Astyanax mexicanus: one gene and its partner. The protein of the gene in region 1 binds, or shares a complex with, the protein of each later gene. Links are inferred from orthologs where the notes say so. Each region holds a gene or a part of one and is shown on either strand. Other genes may lie near its edges. The genes, in order: lrp5 and fzd8a.

The links.
Region 2: lrp5 (region 1) and fzd8a share a complex: the UniProt entries of both Homo sapiens proteins name them as parts of the wnt-signaling complex. The link is inferred for Astyanax mexicanus from reciprocal best matches to the Homo sapiens genes LRP5 and FZD8.

The regions. Positions count from the first base shown.
Region 1 is NC_064417.1:10,263,467-10,272,416, forward strand, and holds the start of lrp5 (low-density lipoprotein receptor-related protein 5), read left to right. Parts: upstream 1-4,705; 5' UTR 4,706-4,898; coding exon 4,899-4,956; intron 4,957-8,950. UniProt on the Homo sapiens protein: Acts as a coreceptor with members of the frizzled family of seven-transmembrane spanning receptors to transduce signal by Wnt proteins.
Region 2 is NC_064413.1:47,784,151-47,793,646, forward strand, and holds fzd8a (frizzled-8a), read left to right. Parts: upstream 1-5,860; 5' UTR 5,861-6,374; coding exon 6,375-8,132; 3' UTR 8,133-8,745; downstream 8,746-9,496. UniProt on the Homo sapiens protein: Receptor for Wnt proteins. Component of the Wnt-Fzd-LRP5-LRP6 complex that triggers beta-catenin signaling through inducing aggregation of receptor-ligand complexes into ribosome-sized signalosomes.

The DNA of each region.
Region 1 (8,950 bases):
ATGCAATCTGAACCTCACAGCAAATGCTCCAAAATGTAGCAGAAAGTTTTCCCTGTAAAGTAGAGACTGTTACGCTAACAAAAGTAGGATAAAATATTTTTAATATTCTTGTTTACAGTTGAATGTTCATAGAAGAGTCCAGTGTATGATGCGTGTGTATATGAGGTAAAGGGGGGTTGTTGTTTTTGCTGAAGTATCTCTTTAATATTTTATCTTCTGTTATAGAAAACAATAGCATTCCTGTTTTCTGGCCGTCTGAAGCAGCAGGAAATCAGGGCCTTTTGGGTTATGTGACTGTAATATTAAAGTGATGTATTGTGGGTAGTGGTAGGTGGTTGAAAGGGTGTTAGCGTTGAGCTTGCTGACGTTCTGCTGCAGGAGGCCGTGTGTTTTAGAGAACCTGTTCCACATGGCCTTCATTACCTCACAAACTATGTCTTATATTCAGTCTTGGCAGCGATTTGGCCGGCAAGCTCCAGCTCTGAGGCGTATAAAACACAAACTGAGGGAGAGGGAGAGAGAGAGAGTTTTATTTGTGGACAGGGCCTGGTGGATCAAAGCAAGCGCCGCAGGCCTCTCTGCACAGGTGACCGTAAAGACAGGTTTCATTATGGCATTTTTCTCTGGGCTCTGAATCACTGCCCACTCCTCTCACACGCACCTCTCTTTACCTCCCTCCCTCTCTCTCTATTTCTCACCCTGTTAAACCCAATCACTTTCTTTCTCTTTTTCTTTCACCCTGTCTCTCTCTCTTTCCCTGTTTGACCTCTTGCACTCTTTCTTTCTCTCTCTCTGACTGTTTTAACAACAAGGGTGGCAAATGTTTAACCATCTTAACCAGCAGATATGTTTAATTGACATAAATAACGGTCATTAAAAAAGTCTTAGTAAAAAAATATACTATTATCACTAATATTACTACTAGATGTGATAGTAGAAGTAGTAGTAGTGATTGGCGATAAGTCAGACCAAGGATTTGTTGCCGAAAGACATTCCTCGGAAACCCTTGCTGTGTGTGGGTGAGCATTATCCTGCTGAAAAATAGCAGTTAGAAGCCCTGCTATGAGAGACAACACCAGTCTGCAGGATGTCCTACACATATCTCTGAGTTGTTAGTGTCCTTCATATCACTACTAGGGGTGACCGCTTGTTGTATGAATTGGCTCCCCAGATCATCCAACCAGCAGCCGGGGCAGAGTGATGCTCCACAGCAAAAGCAGGATTAAAGTGTCACTACAAGGCTTTCATACTTAAAGCCCCCATCGTCAGATCCCATACAGAACCTGTTTTCAGCATTAAAGATCATACAATTCTAGTCCACAGCACTCCAAGTGTCCTGTTTACCTCATCACTGGAAGTCACAGAGAGAAATAAGACTTAAAGATTCTTCTTTAAAGGGATATTTCACTTACCCAAATCATTGGACCCAGGTTTCAATCGCTTCCATGGCCACAGGTGTATAAAACCAAGCAGCTAGGTATGCAGAAAGCTTCTACAAACATTAGTGAAATAATGGGTCTCTCAGGAGCTCAGTAAGCTCCAGTGTTATACCCTGATAGCAACAAGTCCAGTCATGAAATGTCCTCACTACCAAATATTCCACAGCCAACTGTCAGTGATATTATAACACAGTGGAAGCGACTGGATATGAAAGCAACTATCTCTGTTAGTGTGCAGCATAGTGTGCAGAGGTCACCAACTTCCTGCAGAATCAATCACTGCAGACCTTCAAACTTAATGTGGTCTTCACATTAGCTAAAGAACAGCAGAGCATTAGGAGCTTCATGGAATGGGTTTCCATGACCGAGCAACTCCATGTAAGCCTTTTACCAAAGACTGCATTGCGCAGGTGATTGGATACTTAGTAAATGTAGAAGAACTAAATTATTTAACATTTTTGTACTTAAGTATTGCATGTAGTTTATTGTATAATGTAGTACTGGAGTACTGCAAGTAAAAGAACAGTACCGTGTTATATGTTAAGCAGTTGAAAGTTCTCAGTGAAAGGAGAAACAGGAGCAACAAGGTCTTCTTTTAAGATCTGCTTGATTTACACAATGATGAGAAGCTTTGTCAAACCTGGAGACAGTGCAGAGGATCTACTTATCTGGCTTTAGTGATAATGTGGGTTTGAAACATTTTTAACTTTTTTAGAATGGTAACGAGCATTAATGCAGCACATAAAAAGGTATACAGTACAGATGCAGCAATTTAGTACTTAAGTATTGTATTGAATTAGTTCTAGAATAGTAAAACCCTCTAGCATTGAGCTGTGAAGCAGTGTAACTTGTCTCTGGATTTTTTGGAAAATTATGGATGAGGTGGAGTAAACAATAGAGGCAGTTACTCTAACAAAAGCAGGATAAACTAAAAAAAGAAGTAGAAACAACAAATAAGCAGGTGTCCTAATACTTTCTGCCATTATAGTGTTTTTGATTTTTATGTTGCATGTTTGTCTGTATGGACTTTCAACGTAGTGAATATTTCATAAGCGGACCTTATTACATATATTTTATACTCCTGGCCTAGATGGCAGACAGTGTGTCAAAATGACCATCCTGCTTTTCTCATTTTAATGATACAGTTCAAAAACATGCATCATAAAGGCATGCCTACCAGTCACTGATCTCTCACAAAGAGGTACACTACCCAAAAGCAGCCTCTGAGAGCCAAAAAGGCTTAAAAAAAAGCCTAAGAGCAGGAGGAAGAACCACTGAGAGAAACTGAGACTTAAAAGAGAAACCAGTCATGGTCTTATTCACTTAGTCTATTTATTGCTATTGCTTAGTATTTAAGACTAATTCTGTCTGCCCTGTGTTGTACCACATTCTACAGCCCGTTATCATAACAAGCTGAAAAAATAGAACTTCATCGCCAAGAAAAGCGATGGCAACAAAGGAGTAAATGGTTTATCATTACAACTTTTTTTAAGAATGTGTGGGAATTTGAACAGTTCAATTCAATTTAACACAGTTTTGTATAATTAATACATTTAACTGTGTTCAAACCAAGTCTTCCTGGCAAAAATGGGGATTTTTAGATGCTTCCTCTAATTGCAGCATCCTGTGTCATCACTAAATGAACTTCTCTGTTTCAAATATATTTTTATTATATCTTCCTTATGCTTGAAAGTTCCAGTTCCTCTTTGCAATGGAAGAAGGGTCTATTAATGGCTCTGAAACACTCCTTTGCTGCATTCTAAATAAGAACTACACACTAATACTGTAAAATGTATATACTAGTAACAATAACAATAACAAGTTCTCCAGGTGAATTTTTACAGCATTTGCATTGTTATCTGCCAGTGTAATTTTATAGTACTGTTTTAGACATAAGTAGCTTCTCCCTATTCGTTTTGCATTGCATTATGGGATATTTGCACTCAAAAACAGACCAGTTCCACTTTTATCTGTACTACACATTTCACAATCAAAGACTGATAACATACTGATTAATACACAAATGGGATATACTGAGAGTAAACGCAGCATGAATGATCATAGTTAAACTGCTCTGGGTTGATTGGTGGGCAGTCAACCATTAATCTGTTCATGGATGTAATCTCATAGCTACAATGTGTAAATTTTTAGACTCAAAGATCTGCACTACACTTCTTACAAAAAAAAGCAAGGACATTTTATTTTTTCCATTTTTTACTAGTAAGAGGCCTTGGAGCCTTGGAAATCTGAGACTGAAAGCTTATCAGAGAAAAGAAATCCTTGTAAAGAAAGTTGTTCTGCTGTCTAAACCAAGTCAATCAATTTATAACTTTAAACTGAACTTTAACCCCCTTAATCTGGCTCAGACCTGCAAAAGGTAGACACACACACACACACACACACGCACGCACACAAATGCACACAAGTCCTCCATGTTTCCCAACCCGTTTCCTGGCAGTCTCTTCTCTGTTGGAGAGAACCACATCCAAAATGTCTCTTCCCAATAACAACATCTCCTTCAATACCTTCAGATACCCTGTTACCTCAGATCAGATTCAGATTAATTTCAGCTCAAAATTACACTTCACTCAGTTTTTGTTTCAAATTAAATTTCGCTTCGATTCAGATCAGCGTAGATCAGATTCAAATTTGACTCGATTTAGATTAAAGTCAACCCAGATTAGATTTAAATTCAGTTTAGATAATAATTATGATAATAATAATAATAACAACATAATAATACAAAAATATTTAAACACTCTTAGCAAGAATAGCTACTAATATTTGTTTTATAACAACCGTGGAAACCATTTGATGCTTGATAAAAATATCTTAACATCTTAAACATATCAATATTTGATTTAGATTTTTTTTCAGATGAAACCTTTTTAATGTTTTTAAAATATCTTTATCTTAATCAAACATTATCAGTTTATATTGAATTACGCAGCTATTTGCATGTTGCTCTGGGTTTAATCCGCTTTAAATGGTTGTATCTAGAGTTGTATTTTTCACGCCGGAGTTGTGGCGGCTTTTTATTTCCCGCCCGTATTCAGGAAAGTCCCGTCTCCTCCGTGCCTTGATTGGCTCACTTGGAGCTCGCAGTTCTTGCTCATGCGCAGAGACACCTCCCGTTGTAGAAGGACGAGGCTGCGCGCGAGGGCTCTGGCAAGTGTGAACTCCGAGCGCCAATTACATTGCAGGGGGCGGGGCCTCTCCCCAAAACAGGTGCAAAAAGAAAAATCAGTACGATCCCAGGCGCTGACGTCAGAACCCGTTTCCGCTGTCATTCCCTGTAGGAGCCACACAGAGAGCGCGGTCCTGTGTTTCTCTCGGACGGAATAAAAGTACTTTCGCGGTTCCAAGGCGGACTAAAAAGTTGCTTTTGGACTTTTCTGACCCGCCAGCCACCCGAAACATGGATTTGAAGCCGCGCAGCTGAAGCGAGGACGGCCCGAGATGGAGCTTTTATTCGCGCAGCTGCTGCTGCTGAGCTGCGGTGTGACGGTGCTGTGCGGTGAGTGAAGGACTTTTGTTCACATTTTGTGCTGAAAATCGCTGCTAAAAGTCCCGCAACTCGGATTAAAGCCGTGTAAACAGCGTACAAGTCCGTATAACACGCATCTAAATACTAACACATGGAGGAACCGGTTTCTAATTCGGTTTAAAACTGGTTTAAACTGTGATTGTGTACTTAGTGGACACTTTCTGGGAGGCGGATTTGCTGAAAATGCACTGAGAAAATGGAGCTGCAGGAGTTGTAAAAGTGATCAGAAACCGAATTAAATGTTATAAAACACGATATTGGTGTAAACGACCCTATTTGGGAACAGATGAAAAAAATGTAAGGTATAGTTAGATGGTAATCCTGAAGTTAAATTGAGCATTTTTATACTCTATAGTTTGTCACCATAAAAAGAAGTACAAACGTCTTTAAACACAGTTATAATGATTTTTAAAAATCGTATAAACCTGCATATACAGTTAAAAACAAAGTTGTTATAGAGAAAACACAATTAATAGAATAACTAAGCTATTTGCTCTATTCATGAGTGCCAAAACAATCACTTTTGATTCAGTTCAGCTCAAATTTAATTCAGGTTCTGATTCAGATTAGAGTTACATCAGTTTTAGTTAAGATTTAGCTCAGATTTGTCCATTTGAGTTGGATTAACATAGATTGGCTCAGATTTGGTTCAAAGTTCATGTAGATTTGCCTCAACATAGGATTTATTTACATTAGGACTTAAATCAGGTTTATCACGGGTTTTATTTTAAATTCTGTTCATTTTTTTTAGATTCAGCTCAGCCTAGCCCAGATTCAACTTTAACTTTAAATGCAGCTTAAAATATTAAATACAGCTTAAGATCAGCTGGATATCCAGAAAAAAAAACCTACACTGTGTAAACTAATCTCTTTAATTCAGATTTTAATATTAAATGTGGTACCAAAATTTAAATACTTCTACAGCACATACACTTCACACACATTCAAGCTGAATTCACTAAGACCAAAAAATGTGGGAAAATAAACATTTCCCAAGTGCCCTGCTGCATGTTTAAACTGGGTTCGGTTACTTTTAGGGTGGATTGAAGCCTTGCTGCTCCACAGCTGCTGTGGAATGTGTAAGTGTGTAAAAACGTGTACATGTGTAAACTAAAGTTTTATTCAGATTTAGGGGTAGTGTTTACTGTTTTACCTCAGATTTACTCTCTTATTCTGAAGTATGGACACAAGGTGTTTGGTTACTTTAGTGATAATGAGGCTGAAGGGTTGACTGCCTGGCCTTGGTGTCGAATAGCAGACTCAGAAGTGCACACAGATATAAAAAGGGGGAGAGTAGTATTTTGTGTGTAAATAAACAATTACACACTATCAAAAATAGTTTCTTTTTAAAATAGGTTAAATATCAGTTATCTGATATTTTAAATTGGATAAATCTGGACATATTACATTTGATCTCAGAGAGTGAAGTGTGTTCAGTGCTGTTCAAACATCTGATTTCATTTAATGAAAAACAGATTAGATAAACTGAATATTAGATGGGAACTGGGAATACTAGACACCTTTCAGGAGAGCAGTACAGAAATAACAACAAACAGCTTTATAGATTATTTTCTCAGGTTGTTAGGATTTTACTGTGATTTAATGACCCAAGGTGTATTTATTCATCAACTTCCTTACTATTTTTCCAGTAATAATATTTGTGTTGATTTATTATCCAAAAACAGAATACATTTTTGCACCAATCTCTTTATCCCGTACCGTGACCCACGCTATTACTTTTAGACTGATATGTAAATTACCTATGTTCTGACTGGCTGCCTAATTTAAAAGGCACTCTGAGCTGAAACACTCCTTATAATGTGAGTGCGTGTGGGCGGAGCTGAACTGATGTAGACTGAATAGGCAGATATACAATGATGGAATGCATTGTGTTTTTTGTGATCTCTCCAAAACAGTTTGTACAGAAGGACTGGGGTATAAATGGTATGCCAAAAAGGGTTCTTGACTGAAGCAAAATGTGTTGTTAGTATTCTTTGTGTTGATGGAAGATGATTAATATAGAAATATTTAAGAAATGGTTTAATGGAAAGCACCAAAAAAGGACAACAAATATTTTTGCAGTGCTATATTGAAGCTTTTTGTCTAGAGTGTGGTTTTAAGCCATTTTAGTTAAGTCTTCTATTTAAAAAGCACTCTGTGGTTTTCTGTCATATGGGCTCTTTAATCAGAACTGATTTGTTGAGTATCGGGAGTGAGATGGCTGGACTCATTGAGATACAGGACTGTGCAAAATGTTAGTCCCCTGTGAAAATCTAAATGAGACCCCCTTTTTTGGGTAGTTTGTGATCATTTTTTTGTTAGTCTTTTAGTCTTTTTGGCTTTATTTTTTTGTTTTGTTTTATGATGTGCAGAAAAAGATCACATCATACATCACTGTTCATTAAAACATCTCTAAAGTTCTTTTCATGGGAGTCTAGTAGTAGTTTGATTTGTCCCCAACACCTGGTTTGGTAAATCAGTGATTATTGATGTTAAACCAGGTGAGCTGGTGGTGGAATTGAAGACATCTACTGGGGCGTTGGCTGCGGGTGTCCAGTAGAAATCTGGACCTGAGCTTTGTTCTTTAGCTTTCTCACAGGAACTTCAAAATGAGAAATTCTTGTTACTTTTTTACTTTTTACTTTTAAATTATATGATTAGATTTTGGGCCCTGTCATTGTGGTAGGTTAACATGTTGCACTTAAGCCTGTGAACAATTTCATAACTAAAAGAAAATTAAATGCTTACGGTTGCAGTGTAAGGATAGAGCATGCAATACTTGCACACTAAGCAACAAGAGTCTGTATTGTGCTGAAAAAGAGAACAGTACTGAACCCAGACCCAATACTGGTGCTGTAGAACCATTTTAAATTTTTAAATGGGGGGGGGGGGGGGGTCTTTAGGGGTTCTATGGTGAAGGATATTTTTACACTGAAAGTCCAATCCAAGGTGGATGTTTTTTGTACTAGGGCTTGATATGAACCGTATGAAAGCCACAACCAGTGACATGTTTCGTCTTGCCTTGACCTTGCCAGTAGATCAAGACCGGCAGTGTCTGAGGCCGAGACCAGATTAAGTTATTTTTTATCATATAAATAGAAAATGCAGAAAAATAAATAATCTGTTAATAATGGTGTAAAATTGCTGTTAAAATACACTGTCATCCATAGCACAGTGATTTCTGTTGAGTTTTTGCTTCACATTTTTCAATTTTTCAAACAGGACTTTTTGCATTCTCTATAATGAACTGTTGTGTCAGTGTTACAGTGCTATATTCTTTTTTTTGTCATCAGCTACAGGGGTGGAGTCTCTCTATACTTCATATGAATTGGTTTGTAAAATGTTAGTTATGAGTTTGGTGAGTTGCTTTGTCAGGTGTTGTGATGAATTGTAGCTTTCTGTCAGAATCTCTCTTCACGAACATGATTCTCCTCAGATTCCTTTTCATAAATTTGAAAAAGTTTATAAATAAGGTTTAATCTACTGTTACAGTAAATGAATTAATTCCCAGTATAAGCATTTGTGTTCATACTGCTGTGTGATGTGCCTGCTCACCAGGGAGAGTCAGATTTCAGCACAACAATTATTTTTTCTTCTGCTTTGTTTAGGGACTAATTCAACTTACTGTAATTGCTCTGAAAGTCCATCTAGAACCATTAAAAAAAGTGTTTTACACTGCAGACAAACTGGACCATGATTTAGTAGATTCTTTCAATCAGCCTCTTTTGGTTGGTTCAGACTCTGGTCCTTTGGTTCAGACCGTGGTTCACGCCCCCTTTAACAAATGCCACTTTAGTTCAGACCCAAACTGAAAAGTTAGAAATTTCAGACCAAACAAGGGAGGTGTGAAATCCCCCTTAATTGCGCAGATAAAAGAACTTTGCCAGGTCTTATCGTCATCACATTTTTCCAGAATTTCCCTATGTTTGACACTAGAGTGATTTGTAGAATGTTATCAATTCTG
Region 2 (9,496 bases), on another chromosome or scaffold:
AGTAACGTATAAGTGAAACTATCTTATTTCAGGGAGAATTTTTGTTTTTTGTTTTACGTTTCTAATGTTTAAAATTAAAGTGCAAGATAATTTAAAGATTAAGATTTTTTTTACATTATATAAACACAACAGCTGTCTCTTACATTGTAATTATAAACCATGATTAATTAATTAAAAGAAATACTCAAAACTCCCTCAAATACCTTTGAATTTGTATTTAAAATGTATTATGTTACTGTACCTCAAAGATTAACCATCACTAGTGTGTTATAAACATAATTTATTAACCGTTTGCTGTAGCAAATTTTAAGGATACCTAATAGTTATATTTTAAAGCTTGTTCATTGCAAAGATTAGAAATGTGCACAATAATCAAGTGAATTTCTTACATTTACACATTATTATCATAGTTATAGCTACAATAGATTACTCATTTATGATAAAATATGTGTATAAATAGTATATGTGAGCTTATATATTAGAATATATTATTAAAATACTGCGTTGAAATCTATTAACATGATCTAAGAGATGTACACTGAATGAAAACTGTCATACTACAAACACTCTCAAGCTGTTTGATCTTGGGTGAATTATTTTAAGATGAAAAGATCAGATGAAAGGACTTTCCTGCTCAGTTGTTCACAAACATTACATACATTTAGGTTCTTTCATTTGTAAATAACATTGTAGTTTCATTGTAGTTAACATAAAACTAACAGTAGGAACTGGGTTGTTAACTAACGTAATATGAAATGAAGACTAATAATTAATAAGACTAACTTAGAAGTTATATTTATATTGTTATTATTTATTATTATTTATATAATATGTTGTATATAGCTTATTTCTGCCTGACCAGAAAAACCTCATCTCATCTCGTCACCAAATTTCAATAGTCAGTTTTATTTTAAGTCATTTTAGAGCTTTTATATTGTGTCAAAAATGCAGGGGGGGATACAAGGTTATATGTATATTTGTCATAGACATGTGTAGTTTGAGCATATGTATACCAGCATTAAATGCAGCAACAATACAATGATAAATGTGCACTGAATAAACTGGTATGATACAAAAATTTGTTTAAAACTGCAGTTTGGCAGAAGTGGCATAAAGTTATCCAAAAGCAGTGTGTAAGACTGGTGGAGGAGAACATGCCAAGATGCATGAAAACTGTGATTAACCAGGGTTATTCCATCAAATATTGATTTCTGAACTCTATGAACTTGTTTTATATTTCTTGCATTATTTGAGGTCTGAAAGCTATGTTTAAATAGGCTTTAAAGGCTATTTTGAAGGCAAAAAAGTGTGGTTTGTATTCTATAAAAGCTGTTTGTGACTTATTGACCATTAAAAAGGTTGAGAACCCCTGTTCTAGTAGAAGACATTAATATAAATACAGCAAGAATCGCTACACACTCCAAAAGCATACAGAATACACATAGTCACAGCACAGAGAGCTCAATCTGATTTCTACAATAGTGTATCTCTTTGACCTTGGGTCTATTGTTTTGAGATGAAAAGGTCTGAGGAACAATATTCACATGCTCTCTGTCACTCAGTAACTGCAGCATCAGCCATAAATCTGAACCGAGACCTCCACAGCTCTAACTCACTGTGAATCATTACCTGACCACCATAAGCAGACCGTATTAATGTCTCTCTCTCTCTCTCTCTCTCTCTAATGCCCCAGCTAAACAATTGTTCCAAAATGAAATAATCTGGCTATTATAAAGTCACATTTTCTGCTTATATTTTCTACAACCCTGATAAACAAAAAAATTATCCAAACTCAGAGTGTGAGCTGAAATTAGTCCTGATTGGCCACCAATACACACGGCGCAGGGCGACAGCCTGTATGTGAGGGCTAATAAAATGTAAACACTGCTAATATGCAGCCCATTCCTATAAAGATAATCAGACCTAATCACATTGTTTGCCCTTTGAATACATACTATGCTAATGGGCAAACACACAGGCATGCCGAGTGTGTCATTAACATGTTGAACAGCATTAGATTAGGCTGAGGTTATGGGTTTTACGGGTCTACGGGAGTGACCAAGATAAACACATTTTTCTAATTACACATTTTTGTTTGACACAATTGCTTAATTTCAATTGTTTACATATTAGAAGCACAAATAGGCACGTTTTTATTGTTTTTTACCTGGTCTTTTTTTTAAATTCTGGGGGTATTTCAAGTATGAAAAGTTTTCAATTGTCAATTGAAGTTCCTTAATTATCATTATTTTCTTTTATTTTGCACTTATTTTCTCAGTTGCATTAAATAAATTCCCTTAATTTTTAACATGCCAGCTTGTTGTGATTTGATTTTATTAACAATATCCATGTTTTGTATGAATTATTCAGTTTTCATTTTATTTTAGAGAGTAAAAAATGTTGACCAAGAGAAGAAACATGAAATCTTTTGTTTAAATTACTGAAATTACATACTCAACAATGTGTTAGTATTTAGTGTATAAACTTTGTGGAAAATTAATGTGCACTATACCACTGTCCTACATTAGTATTAAACCATTGTAGTTTGTTTTTACCATTTTTTAACCCTTGTGTTGCCATAAGGTTATTCTTTTTTACTTTTAATTACTTTTCCTAGAGTTTCTCCAGTATTAAAGAAAGTGAAATGTTGTTTTCGTTCATACTTCCATGAAACCTATACACCAACAGGATACATATATTGTTTTGGGAACTTTTTTTGACATTTAGGACACAGCAGGTATACAGAATATTAAGATTACACACGGTTTAAACATCCAGGCAGATTTGTATTTTGCTGTAAATTAACTGAATTAATTCCCAGATGTTTCAGTACGTTCTAATAGTCGAGAACAGACTTTTTCCACAGTGCTGAGCTTTTCTTCCCGCTCATACTGACACTCGAGCAGGAGCGCTTCCCCCTCTTGGCCCCAGCCGCAGTCTTTTCTCTTTCTATAGAGTGACTCAATGGCGATTTGAAAATTAACTTTCGAACAGATGCACTAATTCCATTTGTGCTGAGGAATGCCCGGGCACCATGTAACCCAAGCCGGGCCTGCTGTGGGCCTCCACCGGGAGGGGGGAGAGGTTACGCTCCGACTGCTGGAGACTAGAGTGGGGTCTATCTCTCTGTTAATCAATATGGGCTCTGCCAATAATACGCATAATCAGTGAAAGCGATGCCGTTTTTTCATCTGCCACACTCAGTGGGGACCTCAGAATACACACCTGTTCCCTGTGCTCAGGGAAATTAGATAATCATTTCATGCACTCTGGCCACATACACTGAGTTTTCAAGGAAAAGGGAGGGGGAGGGGAGGAGCCCCCCTCCCCCGTCCAAAACAAGGCCCTCCCCATACTCATGTATGTGTATTACAACCCTATTATGACCTGATGATGAACATTAAAATAACTTTCAACTTCATTGATGAAGGACGAACACATTTTTAGATTTGTTTGATGTTTTGTCACATTAAAGCATGAAAGAGTGAGGAAATGAGAACAAAGTGTAGATCAATGGGAAAAAAAGCCTTTAATTTATTATCTTTTATCTGTGGGTTGTTATTACATGATTGTTGATGTGGAGTTTCTATGTTAGAAGTGGAAGTTAATGTGGTTTCTAATAAATGTGTCCTTTGTTCACATTTAAGTACAATTTCATACATAGAAACCTTTACTAGGTTTCAGCTAGTTTTGTTGGTGAAGACCTTTGGCTAGAGCTGATTAAACACAATCATACTTGTGTAATATGACATGTTTAACTCTGTATTATGACACAGTATCTGTATTTCCATCTGTTATTTGAAACATTAACTACATTTACCTCTGTTTTATGCCACATTATCTATGTATACCTGTATGTATGTCACATTAACTGTGTTTAGCATTGTAACATATACTTAAATAAATATTCTTATTATATTTACATTTGTAATATTTCACACTAACTATATTATATATACATTGACAATATTTACCTCTAAATAATCGCACATGACCTATATTTTCCTTTATAATATGGCACATTAACTATGTTTGCCTTTGTAATGTACCACATTACCTATATCTACCTTTATAATAAAGTAATATGTAAAAATATGTAAAAAAAAATATGTAACCTTTTAATCATTTTAATTAATTTCAGCTATATTTCCCATTAACTATAGCAAGGTTATTGGTCCAGAAGAGAAGTTAATGGGTCTCAGACGGGTCTTGTATGAACAAGTAACGAAGCTCTGTCTTCCAGACTGGACCAAAACTTGACTGGTCGTGACTCAGTGCTAGACGGTGTATTTCCAGTTCCTCTCAGTGATAATGAGTTGTTAGTGCAGGGAGGACACAGTGTGGAATGGGGGGTGGTTTCTTGTTGCTCTGCCACTGTTAACAAACTTCTCTGCTTGTTCTTGGCCTCCCCGTCATTACGCCCCCCTGCGTGAGTTCCATGCAAGCATTTAAGCCCCCCATCAGCACATCAATACAAAACTAAACACCCCATGCTGCAAGGCAGGACAACCAGCAGCCCCCCTCGCGGGACCACTTAGCATGTGCTAATGAACGCATCACCCGATAGAAAGCTCTTACTCACAGCAAATTAGCTGTTTTCTGACAATAGAGCAGGAAAGTGTGTCTCATTATTATTATTATTATTATTATTATTATTATTATTATTATTATTATTATTATTATTATTATTATTATTATTATTGGTAGTAGTAGTAGTAGTAGTAGTAGTAGTAGAAGTAGAAGTAGAAATATGTTATGTGATAAATAGGGGCTGAATTGCAGCAAACATAACTGCTAGGAAAACTGCAGAATTTATATACAGTATTTTAAAGAAAATATCAATACATATTGAAAAATGCTCAAGACCAGCTTCTGCTGGTAGCTGGTTTCAGATGAAAGTGTGACTTTGTTGGATAAAATGGTTAAAAATCTGCTCATCCGATTAGTGTAAATCCAGGTTTATACACACAATATTGTTTTTTTATATGTTTTTTTAGATGTCTCGTAATTTAAGTGGTCAATTATAGATGTCCCATAGATGCTAACTGACATTCAAATTACATTTAACTGCATGTATATTAAATGCAACTGAAAGTAAATGTATCTTTATTAAATGTAACCCTACATCCAACTCTAATCAGAACTCTAATCTTAACATTTTAGTGTTAGGTTTATGCTTAGATTTAAGGTTTAGGTATAAAGTGTTACCTACAGCTCTGGAAAAAATAAGAGATCACTTAAAAATGAGGTTTTTTTTCTATTATTTATTTTACCTTTAATATAATTGAAAACCTCTGAAATATAATCAAGAGGAAGATGGGTGATCATAAGCCATTAAACCAAGCTGAATTGCTTGAAAATGTGCACCAGGAGTGGTATAAAGTTATCCAAAAGAAGTGTGTAAGACTGGTGGAGGAGAACATTCCAAGATGCATTAAAACTGTGAATAAAAAACAGGGTTATTCCTCATAATATTGATATATGAGATCTTAAAACTTTATGAATATGAACTTGTTTTCTTTGCATTGTTTGAGGTCTGAAAGCTCTGCATTGTTTTGTTATTTCAATCATTTCTCATTTTCTGCAAATAAATGCTCTGAATTACAATATTTTAATTTTGAATTTGGAGTCTGTCTATCTGCCTATAGATCCATCCATCAATCCATCCATCTATCTAAAACCCTATGCAGGAAAACACACTATCCCTCAGCTTTTGCTGCAAATGAACACCTTGAGTAAACTCGACTGGCTGAGCTGCTGGGCTCCGCCCCGTTGCGAGCTGATTGGCGCGCTCCGCGCTGGGGCGTGGTTTAGCAGCCGTCCTCATAAATAGGCAAAGCGTCCCAGTCAGTGCGCGGATTTGTATGAGAGAGAGAGAGAGGCTTTGTCAGCTCGCCGCATGCACTCCGACGGCGGATCTGCTCTTTATTCTTCAGCTTCTGTGCGTAAACTTCCATTTCTCCAGGGCGCGCTGGAATCGGCGCGGCGGCAACGAGCTGAAGGACGCGGCGCGCTCGGGAATAAGGGAATAAGGCGAAGTGGACGGCGCTCCGAGACGGCTGCATATCCTCAGCCATTTTGCCTACACGCCTAGGGGGCTGTGATTTTTTTTCTGTCCGGTTTTTCCCCTCTCGCGCACCGCTCCTCCTCTGCTGCCTCCTGCGCGTTACACGGTTTTGCAAATCGGTGCAACTCCGTGCGGCGTGATGGGATCGCGCCTGAAGATCTGATGGGACTTAAGCTATTGCAGGGCATTCATACAATAGCCTACAATAACAACAGCAAGGACTGGTGGACTGTAGACTCATCCAGCAGGAGCAGCGGCAGCTCTCCTCTATTGTCACTAAGAGGTGCAGAGCAGGATTTGCTGGAGCATGGAGTGCTACCTGTTGGGGATTTACCTGTTCCTGTTCCTGGCCCTGGGCACCCTTCAGCGCTCCAGCGGAACCACAGCCAAGGAGCTCACCTGCCAGGAGATCGCTGTACCCCTGTGCAAAGGAGTGGGGTACAACCACACGTACATGCCCAACCAGTTCAACCATGACACCCAGGATGAAGCAGGCCTGGAGGTGCACCAGTTCTGGCCTCTGGTGGAGATCCAGTGCTCACCGGACCTGCGCTTCTTCCTCTGCAGCATGTACACCCCCATCTGCCTGGAGGACTACAAGAAGCCACTGCCACCCTGCCGCAGCGTGTGTGAGCGGGCACGGGCCGGCTGCGCTCCCCTCATGAGGCAGTACGGCTTCCCCTGGCCGGACCGCATGCGCTGTGACACGCTGCCAGTCCAGGGTGACCCGGACACCCTGTGCATGGACTACAACCGGACTGACTCCACCACAGCTTCACCTGTGCTCTCCAAGCCCACAGGACGGCCGGGCAAGCCACATGTACCTCCTCACAGGACCAAGCACGGGCGGCCAGGTGTGCAGCCGCCCAAGCGCAAGCCTGGGTCTCCCTGTGACCCGGGTTGCCAGTGCCGTGCACCCATGGTGAGGGTGAACAGCGAAAGACACCCACTGTACAACCGTGTCAAGACCGGCCAGATGCCCAACTGTGCCATGCCCTGCCACAACCCGTACTTCACCCAAGACGAGAGGACTTTCACAGCTTTTTGGATCGGGTTGTGGTCTGTGCTGTGCTTTGTGTCCACTTTTGCAACTGTGGCCACTTTTCTGATCGACATGGAGCGATTTAAGTACCCAGAGAGGCCCATCATTTTCCTCTCAGCCTGTTATATGTTTGTTTCCATTGGCTACATTGTGAGACTGATTGCGGGCCACGAAAAGGTTGCATGCAGCCGGGAGTATGATGTGGAGCATGTGCACTATGAGACGACAGGGCCTGCACTTTGCACTGTTGTCTTTCTGCTGATCTATTTTTTCGGCATGGCCAGCTCAATCTGGTGGGTGATTCTGTCCCTCACGTGGTTCCTTGCAGCGGGCATGAAGTGGGGCAATGAGGCCATAGCCAGCTACTCACAGTACTTCCACCTGGCTGCCTGGCTCATCCCAAGCATGAAGTCCATTGCTGTTTTGGCCCTGAGCTCTGTGGACGGGGACCCTGTGGCTGGGATTTGCTACGTGGGGAACCAGAACCTGGACAACCTCCGGGGCTTCGTGCTGGCACCCCTGGTCATCTACTTGTTCATAGGCACCATGTTCCTGTTGGCAGGTTTTGTGTCCCTGTTTAGGATCCGAAGCGTTATAAAACAAGGTGGCACTAAAACGGACAAACTGGAGAAGCTGATGATCCGAATCGGAATTTTCACAGTACTTTACACAGTGCCAGCCACCATTATTGTGGCATGTTACTTTTATGAACAGCACAACAGGCAAAGCTGGGAGACCAGCCACAACTGCTCGTGCCTGATGGAGCATGAGCTCCGGAGGCCTGACTATGCTGTCTTTATGCTTAAGTACTTTATGTGCCTCTCTGTGGGCATCACGTCCGGTGTTTGGATTTGGTCAGGCAAGACTTTGGACTCTTGGCGGGCCCTGTGCACGCGCTGCTGCTGGGGCAGCAAAGGCACGAGCGGCTCCACTTACAGTGATGTGAGCACGGGGCTCACATGGCGCTCAGGCACAGCCAGCTCTGTGTCCTGCCCCAAACAGATGCCCTTATCCCAGGTCTGAATAAAAAGACAATGGACTGCTGACTGCCTGGAGGAGGTCATGCATTAGCCTTTCCCTTTATTAACATACAAATGGACTGCTAATGGTTTCTATTAGGCCAGCAGCAAGAAAGGCTGGTAGAAACAAGGTACTTGTCATTATTATTATTATTATTATTGTTGTTGGTATTATTATTATTTTCTTTCCATTCTATTGATATGGACATGCCATGCAATCAGTGACGCCTAGAGAGAATCGGGGCACCACACTGTCTTAAGTGAAGTTTGGACGTTCGCCCCCATCCTTTAGCCAGCCTTTAAAGGAAAAGTTGTTGTTGCTTCACTTTTACACTTTTTACGTAGCGCAAGACAGCTTGAAATGTCTAAACAATCAAAATATCAAAGACTGTCTCGAATAAGCCTTAAAAGTCTTAGTGCCCAAATATTTTACGGGTTGTTTTTTTTTGCTTTTCTGTAAATTGTATTTATACAATTGTTGTGTACAAACTTTGTAAATTCTGTACAAAAAAGATTTATAAAATTATTGTAAATTTGTATATAGTGTAGATGTCACTTGAAGACAAATATGAATTTTATTTTGACAATAAAACATTTGGAGAAATCTTAAAACTTTTGTATTTTCGTCTCTAGGTGAGTAACGAGGGTTTTTCTTTTTTTTCCTCTCCTTTTTTATGGGGGTGACCCTATTGAAGGTGCTTGTTCTGGGCTCTTTTGTGGGGCCTTGTAAAGAGAAGCTTTTCTTAGCTCTTAGCTATCTGGGGCCGTAATTAGAGGCGAGGAGCTTGAGTTGGAGAATCTCCATAATTGTTGCGCTCTTCACTTAATTTACTCCAAGAGGGGCTGAGTGAATGGGGTTTAAATGCAGGGAACAGGGCTCTTTTCATCTATGGGAAACTTTGATCTCTCTTTAAAGTCTCCAATAAAGGTGACATGTAGATAGAAGTTTTTTTTTCTTCCCTGCTGCCAATGCACCAAGTTGTCTAATGTCTAATTTGAGAGCGCCATCAAAAACGTCTTACTCCAGCTTCAGCTGTATTATTAATGGTGGAGTTTTAGTCTCAGACGTGAGAGGGAGTGAATGGCCCCCCTACAGGTGGTCCCTTTACAGTAATCCCCCATCCAGGGACCTTTAGTGTGAGCCCTGACAGAACTGCATTAAAGCTTAGACAAAGAAGCTCTCTGGAAAATGTTGCCTGATGGCAAATGAAACAGTATGCTTTCTTGTTTTGTCCCACACAGGCCTGTTGCGATCACACTCGGCGGAGGGGGGTGAAATTTTTTAACACATTGTCCAGCTTTGGTACACAGTAAGAAGGTTATTTAGCCCTTTAGCCTATTTGGGGCCACAGTGTTTGCTCTTTTATT